2 linked regions of the Arabidopsis thaliana genome follow. The protein of the gene in region 1 purifies or fractionates together with the protein of each later gene. This does not show direct contact. Each region holds a gene or a part of one and is shown on either strand. Other genes may lie near its edges.

What was found. Proteins that work in one complex are often made in the same cells at the same time.
Region 2: the proteins of AT5G06360 (region 1) and AT1G80750 fractionate together in Arabidopsis thaliana (co-fractionation; one large-scale study listed by BioGRID). This does not show direct contact.

What each region holds. Positions count from the first base shown.
Region 1 is NC_003076.8:1,942,651-1,947,632, reverse strand, and holds AT5G06360 (Ribosomal protein S8e family protein), read right to left. Parts: upstream 2,880-4,982; 5' UTR 2,799-2,879; coding exon 2,796-2,798; intron 2,670-2,795; coding exon 2,550-2,669; intron 2,468-2,549; coding exon 2,400-2,467; intron 2,258-2,399; coding exon 2,149-2,257; intron 2,057-2,148; coding exon 1,988-2,056; intron 1,898-1,987; coding exon 1,840-1,897; intron 1,640-1,839; coding exon 1,404-1,639; intron 1,322-1,403; coding exon 1,270-1,321; intron 1,189-1,269; coding exon 1,121-1,188; 3' UTR 849-1,120; downstream 1-848. Other genes in the region: AT5G06370 (NC domain-containing protein-like protein), read left to right, coding at 1-334; AT5G06350 (ARM repeat superfamily protein), read right to left, coding at 3,436-3,531, 3,613-3,930, 4,020-4,160, 4,262-4,413, 4,572-4,706, 4,817-4,948.
Region 2 is NC_003070.9:30,346,739-30,351,541, reverse strand, and holds AT1G80750 (Ribosomal protein L30/L7 family protein), read right to left. Parts: upstream 2,873-4,803; 5' UTR 2,661-2,872; intron 2,511-2,660; 5' UTR 2,491-2,510; coding exon 2,305-2,490; intron 1,954-2,304; coding exon 1,856-1,953; intron 1,759-1,855; coding exon 1,621-1,758; intron 1,517-1,620; coding exon 1,414-1,516; intron 1,327-1,413; coding exon 1,108-1,326; 3' UTR 978-1,107; downstream 1-977. Other genes in the region: NIP6;1 (NOD26-like intrinsic protein 6;1), read left to right, coding at 1-90, 297-491, 569-630, 710-902; AT1G80745 (Transcription factor TFIIIC, tau55-related protein), read right to left, coding at 3,221-3,342, 3,468-3,519, 3,616-3,666, 3,745-3,828; CMT1 (chromomethylase 1), read right to left, coding at 4,711-4,803.

The DNA.
Region 1 (4,982 bases):
GAACAACTGTGAGGATTTCGCTATATATTGCAAAACCGCATTGCTGGTTCTTGAGGGAAGGACAATGGGACAGAGCGGTCAGGCGGTTTCGATTATAGGTGGGCCGATTGCTGCGGTTTTGTCCACGCCAATGCGGCTTCTGACTACAAACGTGTATGGGATGGCTGCTACAGCGATTGGTGTGTATTGTGCGAGTAGATACGCTACTGATATCGGAATGAGAGCTGACGTCGCGAAAGTTGAAGCAGAGGACCTCACAAGAAGGCTGTCTTCAGGACTTTTCCAAGTACTTGATCCTCCATTGGCAGCCATAGCTTTACCAAGCACGAGTTGATAAGCTTAAGCTTCACCAGCTTATCCCACTGTTGTATTTTCTATTTGTCCCTTAGCTTCTATAAATGTTCTAATAAGAACACTCCTTGCACAATTGATCTCGGTGTGATTCAAACTTATATAATTATGTACAATAATAGGTAAAAAAGGGTACCAGTTACTAAATCATAGAAGAAAGAAAAATCCAGAGGCTACAAAATATATATGGTTTCTGAAAAATCCCAAATCTTTTTACAAAACTAAAAATTGTTGTTGATACAATACAAGAGTATCCTTATTTAGTCATAAAAACGACAACACTTTTGATCAGATTCGTAATTGTTGCAAGCGATTCTCTACTTCAGCTTCGACTTTAGCCTTATCTGTCTTTTTCTTTGCTCTACATTTAGCTGCAAGTTCCTCAATCTTCTACGTACTTTTGGATTGGTCTAGTTCATATTCTCGGTAATTGAAGTTTGGTTTGACTTGCCTTGTGGTTCGATTTTATATGTTTACCTTCAGATTTATCTCACTTTTGCTCCCATGGGTTCTTAAGGCATACTAGCTCCGATAGTAACGGTAAAGAGGCTCAAAATGAACATTAGAAGCAACAAATTTCATAATGTGGGATACTTATAAAGCTAACATAGCAGCTAGTTAATGTGAAGAGAAGACCAACCACACATTCATAAAAAAACTTGAAATAACACAAAATTGTTTCAGGAGAAAACAAAATAAAACTAGCCAACATGATTCTCGCCTTCCTCTCGTCTCTATCCATACTTCTACGACAGTGCCGGACATTTGGTTACACAAGTAAAACAGCATTTATACATCCGTCGTTCTCTGGATTGTTTGTCACTTGAGCGTATTTTCCTGAAGTCAAATTGAAGAGAGAGTTAAGACTCTGAAATCAAAATTATAGTTTGCACTAAGGTTGTGTATATTGTCACTTACCCCAGACAACCTTTCCAGCTGGTGTAACAAGACCAAGCTCACTCACATTGACCTGAAAAATCCATTCGCATATTGAGTTATTTGCAACTTTAGCATAAATGACAACTTAATACGTAAAGATCTTGGGGACTAACCTCGATGATTGTTCCCCTGGTCATCACACCGAGTGATGTATACATGGGACCGTTAGGATTCTTCTTAATCCCGATGATCTCGAGACAGAAAGTGCATTTTAGTTCAGGGTGAGTGACGTGGGCCTTGGTGAAACGAAGACCAGATGGACGGATGAAACGCTCGTACTTTGGAGGCTTCCTTGTGAAAGCAGGTCCAACAAATGTAGCTTTTGTAACCATCCGCTTCCATTGTTTAGCTGTAATAAGGGAAAGCATTTTCAGTATTTGTAAGAACCTATTCAACACTAATAAAACCAATCCACAAAGCAAACTCAATCTAGTCTAGAGTCATTTCCTTAATCAATAGCTCTATATGATGATAAGTGTTTAAACAAAGACATAGAGTGATAACAAAACAAACAAGTAGCTATATCTGGATTAGAAAGTAAATACATACTTTTCCTTTTTCCAGATCGGATCACTCTAAACATTTCATCTTCAGCAACTGGACGGACCTGTAAAAGGACAGGGCTTGAATTTAAGCTTTGCCCATTTGTTAGAGTTCAAACACTGAAGGAATACAAAAGCAGAGAGAGAGATTTCACCTTTGGAAGAGGGACCTCCCATTTGCCAGCTTTCTCTTTCCTCTTTTGTTTAATGGTGTTGCTAAGAACCTACACCCAAAAACACACACTTGTTAATGTAATGCCGTCACCAAGTTACAGAATTATAGATATCTCAACTTGAAAAGAAAAAACAAACAAACCTTGGCACGAGTGGTGTCTTCACGATCAAGAAGATAAGCAGGAACAGCTCCTTCCTGAACATTCTCATCAGCCTTACGCCTTGATGATGACTCTTCATGCATTTTCAATCTGTTATGACAAAAATAAAAATCAAACCAATGTAAGATTCTCATAAAACCACACCTATTAACTTAGGAATATCCAATCAATTATACTACTTAACATCTTTCACTTAATGATAGATTCTCAGAGAATACGACGAAACACTTACGTTTTCTTCATGAGAGCTTTCTCAGCATAGTTTTTCTTAGCAATCATCTTACCCTTGATACCTAGAGACTGCAATTAGAGCAAAAGCAGAAGAAGAATCAGTAAAAGGAAGCTAAAAATGGAAGAAGACGAAGGAGAAGAAAGTAAGAACCTTTTGAGCCATGGTGGAGTGCTTGTGAACTTCACGCGCCTCCTTCTTGCGCTTTCTCTCGAAGTGGTCGAGGCGATATCCATTCCTCTTCCTGTGCAAATCTATGTAATCTCCCTGAGGCTGTTTTTCATCCACCAATAGAAGAAACCACAGAAATTGTTAGAGATCAAAACGCTCAAGCTGTTATATCTGAGAAACGAAAGCTGTAAGAAGAAAAAAAAGGTACTCCGGCGGCGGAGAACGTACCATGGTTGCTTCTAAGCGATCAGACGGTGAGATAAAAAGAGAGAGAGACGGAAATTGGACGGAGAGAGATACTCAGAGCCTGCGAGCTAGGGTTTTATAAACGGGTCGAATATTTGGGTCTTACTAATATAATGGGCTTTCTTGTCAATATTAATGGGCTAAATCATTCTTAAAAGCCCATCACTTCAGATGGTAGAATAAATGATGACTTTTTCGAGAACTTTGACTCTTGGATTAGTAACTATGTAGTTTACTGCAAAATCCAATAAACCAGAGTTGTTTGGTGGCGAAATGAATCATATGTTGAACATTTAGCCAACCCATGGTGGTGCAGTGGTTTTAAGATTTACTGGTTAGGAAAGTCGTAGTTCAAATCTTCTCGTTGCAGTTTAAAAGAAGGTTGGCTTCTGGAACCAAGCGTTATGGATGCTTGGTTAATGTAGAAAACCTTTTTCATGTGAAGAAGCGTATCACAGTTTTGAAGATATATGTCTTTTTCACTTCAATTAAACTCTAAACCAAAATTCTACAAAATTGTCATCAAAATTGGTGCTTTCTCAAACAACCAAGCTAAGTCGTATCTTTTGCATCCTTTATAAAGAGAGCACAAATCATTTTATGTTACAGTTGTAGAACTTAATTACGCGAGTAAGCTTTTGGACGCAATCCTAAGTCGCTCTCCCGCAATTTTCATCATATGCTTTCCTTCTACAGTCAAGCTCGTGCTTCGTGAGGACTACACATTTAAGAGGTAAAACTTATCAGCACATGTGTTATGCAGTTTGCAATAATGATAAGAGATTGGAGAAAATGATACCTGCAACGTGATAACGTTCTGAAGAATCAAATCGATCTCGGGCTTGAATGACGATATTATCTTCCTAACTTTGACGTCGTTGTGCATCAGCAGGATCACAGAGATAATGCATTGTATCATATTCAATGAGTTTCGACCGCTCTCCCTGTCTTGTACCGATTCTAGCGCTTTTGTGTTTTCACTAATCATTGATCGCATTCTTATCAGAACCTGTTCTGTGAGTTTGGAGCTCCGATTGAACAAGAAATAGCAAGGTACTAAATAGTAGAGACATGTTTGTATGTAAAGGTAAGAGTTCTCCTTATCCTCTGGTATACACTGCAAGAAGAGCGTAAGAGATGTGTCAATCCCAAGATTATAATGAAACATTTAGGACCCTGCAAAGTTTTTAAAGGGGAAATGCTTACATTGACTATGTTGATCATATATCCCGGTAAGAACTCACTTAGAGTGGTTACACTCCTTTCAGAAAGTGTGGTAGGGGTAGAGTCCAACACGCAGATCATCCTGAGTATGGCACACCCATTATCCAACGCAGGCTTCAAAACCTACACCAAGAAGAACAAAATCTCCTTAAGTATATGCAGTGCTATTAAATGAGAATGTTATTATCCATTTAGATATAAGCATTATCAAAAGACAAACTTACTATTTGTTCGAGTAAAACTTTCTCTACAATCTGAAGGACAAGAGAACTATCACCCATTTCTGACAAACATGAGCACACAAGCTTTGTAACTTCTTTAAATGTGCCACAATATGTCTCCCGTTCATTACACTCTATCGATGACTGCAGTTTCTCTGCATGCACATAAAGCCACAAGGTAAGCTATCACAAAACATAAAAAGTATGATTATCTCTCAAATAAGCTCACACCAAAACAAATTACAAAAATGTAATAAAAAGTTCAAAAGTTTTTTCTTAAGCTCAAAAGAGAAAAAAAAAATCTTGCAGATACCTGGGACAACTTTGAAACGTGCAATTAAGGTGATAAGGAAGCTAAAATGATCTGTAATCTGGATATATCCAGCTCTATAGGCAGTGTGAAGAATTTCCACTATCCGATACAACACAGCTGGTTCAAGTTGTGGATCTGCAATTTACGTTGAGTCAGGTCAATTACCCTTTTCTTGCATTTTATTATAAACAGAAGCCACTTTTAATGTTGAATAAAAGCATCAGGAAATAAAAAGTGATACTCACATAAACAGCATGAAACTATTGCTTTCATCATAGGGGAGCTGAATTTGTCTGTGGTGAAGTAGTAAAGGAAACAGAGAGCCAGTTCTTGGGCTTCCCGAGGGAGACTTGCAAAAGGTCCACCAGGTACATCACCTGTACAATTTAAACGATGAAGAAACCAAGAAGC
Region 2 (4,803 bases), on another chromosome or scaffold:
ATATTATCGACCGGTCACATCTCCGGGGCACATCTCAATCCGGCTGTAACCATTGCCTTTGCTGCTCTCAAACACTTCCCTTGGAAACACGTCAGTAGTTTAATCTTATTTGTTTTAACACATTTTTGGATGTTACTGAGAGAACCACATGAAATCTATAGACATGCACATGCATGTTGTATTATGAATTGAATTTTAACATGGGTAATAAAAGTATATATAAAATCTGATCATATAAAAGGGGTTCTATATAATTGTTATAAAAATAATAATGTTGGTGTCTAAATTTATGTTAGGTGCCGGTGTATATCGGAGCTCAGGTGATGGCCTCCGTGAGTGCGGCGTTTGCACTGAAAGCAGTGTTTGAACCAACGATGAGCGGTGGCGTGACGGTGCCGACGGTGGGTCTCAGCCAAGCTTTCGCCTTGGAATTCATTATCAGCTTCAACCTCATGTTCGTTGTCACAGCCGTAGCCACCGACACGAGAGCTGTAAATTACTTATAAAAAACGTTTTTGAAGAGTCTTGAAATTTTGGACGTCAATGAAAACTAATCACAAGATTACAGGTGGGAGAGTTGGCGGGAATTGCCGTAGGAGCAACGGTCATGCTTAACATACTTATAGCTGGGTAAATAAACCATCATTTCTTGAATTCAGTTCTTGTACATAATAATACATGTTACTGATCATGATGTTGTGTCCAACAGACCTGCAACTTCTGCTTCGATGAACCCTGTAAGAACACTGGGTCCAGCCATTGCAGCAAACAATTACAGAGCTATTTGGGTTTACCTCACTGCCCCCATTCTTGGAGCGTTAATCGGAGCAGGTACATACACAATTGTCAAGTTGCCAGAGGAAGATGAAGCACCCAAAGAGAGGAGGAGCTTCAGAAGATGAAAAACACTCGCTTCTATATTACTCTGTTTACATCACATAAATATATGTGTATAATATAATATCTGAAGTCGACGATGCTTATAAAATTTGGAATGCCCTTTAACCAAAATTGCAAGTGTTTCATCAAAATGGTTGGTTTTTAGCCTCGTACAGATCTTTTAAGGAAAATATAGTAAGTAGCTAGCGATTACAACGATTGCTGCTTCTAATTCATTTTGCTGATGAGATCATTGATCTTATCTTCGCGGTTTCCGGTATCTCCTCCTTCGCTGAAAACTTGTTTCTTCCGGTGCAAAACATCAGCCACAGGCTTGTTGAGTTTCAAGGGTCCCAAGAATCTCATAACTTCTCTGAAATGATCTCCGACTCTTGCTATCTCATTCACAAGGTCTTCTATGCCCAAGATTTTGTGTTCTCCTAGAGCCTAAGGTAACAAAAGTGGAAACGATTAAGAACAGCATGGTTATTATCTGGAATAAGCTCCTATACTTTTAAGAGTAGGAAATTTTACCTGTTCGATTATATTGTTGTCGGTAAGAGGAACAGGATTTCCCTCAATGATTGTGCATCCCTTTTTGTATATAAGGTCCTTAACACTCTTATCATTCGGGTATCTTCAAGAATCGTAAACATCGGTTAGCTCATACGAGAATAGAGAAACAGCATGGAAATCGAGTAACAAGGAAATATTGAAAGAGGATTGATTGTCTCTACGTACCCATAAGTGACATAAGGCTGCACTTTGAGAAGCTTTTGGAACAAACTGTCAGTTGCTTTAGCAAATACACCAGTAAAGACGCTCTTTAGTTGCAAATTGTTAAGAATCCTCTTGGTCTTTGGGTGCATATCATTCTTGCTGGTCACCAGAAAGAAAAGGCAAGGATAAGAAACAGGCAGAGATAAAGATTAAAACTCCAGGGGGAAAACAAAGCTAATTGGAGAATATCAAATACCCTTGAATGCGTATGATGAAAACCAGGTCAGATTTAACTGGTGGAGGAGATGACTTTGGCCTCTTTACTCTTTGCTTCATCCGGATCATATCTACTTCCTTAAGTAGGGATAAAATTAGCAAAAAGGGAACAGTTAAATTACAGAGAACAATGCAGGATTGACAGAAGAAACAACAAGTCCTAAGCACAACCTTGCAAAACTAGGGAGAAATCTCAAAGGAGAAACACAAAATTATCTGTAGAAAAGTTACAGTCTAAGAGATAAGTGACAAAACCTAATCATAAAGGTTGATGTATAGCTTTAATTTAACTCAAAGAATAAGCAAAAACAAGTTCTTCTAAGGTGTAGACAAAAGTCAAGAAGCAAAAATCAGAACTTGAGGCAGTAAAACGAATGGAAAAAGACAAAGCAAAAGTTTTTCAGAGAATCTGGAAAAAAAGAAGTGTACCTTAGCCCTGAACTCATGAACAAAATCTTCAGGACGTTTGATATCAGAGACTTTCTTCTTCTTCTTGCCGGAATTACCCAACTCAAGTTGCTTCTTCCTGATAAAGGCAAGCTCATCTCTGTTCTTCCTCTTCTTCAGTACTATCTCCGGTATGTAATCCAAACCCTTAGCTTCTTCCTCAGCCATTATCTCTCTACTCTTTGCTTCTACAACACAAAACAGATTGTCAGATTGAATTTTTTTGCGAAAAAAGTTTATAAACAGAGACTGAACTCAACCCTATAAGAAAGTGAGGCTATAGGGACACCAACAGAATGAACAAGATAAGAAGAACGGAAAAGGGGGAACAAATTTACCGGTGGCGGCAAAGCAATTGGGACGGCGGCTGAAAGAATTCCAAGTCGAAGTTGGTAGCAATGGCCGATTTGAGAAGCCTAGGGTTTATTAACTAAAATCTCTTTTGTGTTATTAACAACTTTGCCACCAGACCTAATTACGCTCCGGGCCAGACTCATAATACTATTGGGCTAAAAAAGCCCAATATTTATGGGCTTATGTAAGGCCTTACTGCCTTTGAATATACCTAGTTTTATTTTATAATATCTTGTGTGATTTTGTTTCTTTTAATTACATGGGATGCATAATTTCTCCATCACTGGTTGATTCAATTCAGTTTTTATTTTATTGACATCATCAGAAGGACAAATCATGAAAACGTACGTTGAAGTTGTGAATCGTTTAGTTACCTTTTGGTTTGGTCTTAGTTTGATTGCTACTTTCAAGAGGCCAACAAAGGAAGATGCTGCATGTGCCTTAGCTACATATATAATCTGTCGGTTATTGTTATAGTTCTTTTTTTTAATATGATCTTTGAAGAAAAGTCAGGTTTCCAATGACTTGAACAAGAGAAAAACTTTTACAAATTGGTTGTTTTTGTTACTCCATCTTCGTTGTCTAATGGTGCTAACCTAAACTTGAGAATCTTGTGGAGTTTGGCAACAGGTTCAACTGTCTTCTTCTGTGGCGTCTGGTTATCACCTTGTGCAAACAGACAAATGAAGAAACCGCAACCCCAAATCAGCATCTTGAAGGGACAGAATAATTACTTGAAACAATAACATGTGTTTCCATGTTTGATAATAAAGAGGAAAAGTGAAACTAACCTTTGTCAGAGAAAGCAAGGCATGTACCAATCGTTGCTATATATTCTCCTACCTGAGAGATCATCAAATCTAACACGATTAAGAATGGTTTAAGCAAAAAGAGTAACTGAACTTGGAAAATTGTACTAGTTGCAAGTAAGAGAATTACCAGCTTCATTTTGCCATCTATGGTCAACACCGGATTCAAAGTATCCAAACCCTATGAGAACCAAACAAAACCAAACTTATAAAACAAGAGAATGCAAAAAGTGAAATGAAAGAATTGGATTGAACTAACTGATAAAGTATAAGGAGCATCTGCTGGAATGTCAATGTGCCTTGAAACGTCATCAAGATCAATCATAACATGTTCATCCTCCATCTCTGTATCAATGTGTTTATTAGGGTGGAGAAGAACACAAAGATATTTATGAATCCTAAAACTTTCTCACTTTCTGAACGCGATTAGATCCAAGAAATTATCATTCTTACATCTCCTAAACAACAAATTTATGTTGAGAATGGTTCACCTCTTTCTTTTTTTCCTTTCAATCTTTCGAGCAAATTCGAAACCCTTCTTTAAGTGAGGGAATCGAAGAACAAGCCTGATGAAGAGGAAGAAACAAAAAAAAAAAAAAAGTAGATCAATTGGTTTCTCTGCTTCTTCTATGTGAAAAATTTGCTCTGTTATGAGATATCAAATTTGGGCCGAATATTATAACGTAAAAGCCCAACCGAAGGAGTGGGGACATTATTTGGGTGAACCAAATCTTTCACCATTATATGGGCTTGTGGGCCTAACTGCCTTCGAATTTACTTAGCTTTTGCGAATGAATGAATAACACTAATAAAAGCTGGTAAGTGGTGATCATTGACCAGAGTTTCGGTCGGTCGGTGGCAACTGAATTACGCAAAATCGAACCAATGTTCGTCGAGAGATCACGGACGTACCTAGCACCTCGGATGCTCAATAACAGGTTTTGTCTGTCTTTTGCTTGGTCTTAATTCTTGTTGGATGGCATCACGTAGGATTGAAGTCTACGCAATAGAATTTGAAATCTTGAGATTAAAAATCATAAGAAATAAAATGGTTCCAAATGATTATAAAGTCAAAGATAAACCAACAAGAAAGAGCTAGACAGTTTAAGCCGCCATTGTTTGAGCATATAGCTCTTGCTAACCCAAAAAATTAAAAGAAAGTCTAGAAAATGAAGTATGATTCCTAAAGATAGTTTCATCATGACGACTTGATGGAGACTGTCAATCAGATTTGATCCTTTGCCTGCATGCATTCGGGATACTTGAATGGCAGCTTGATTACTGGTTCATCATCCGTCAGTCCTTGACTCGCCATACC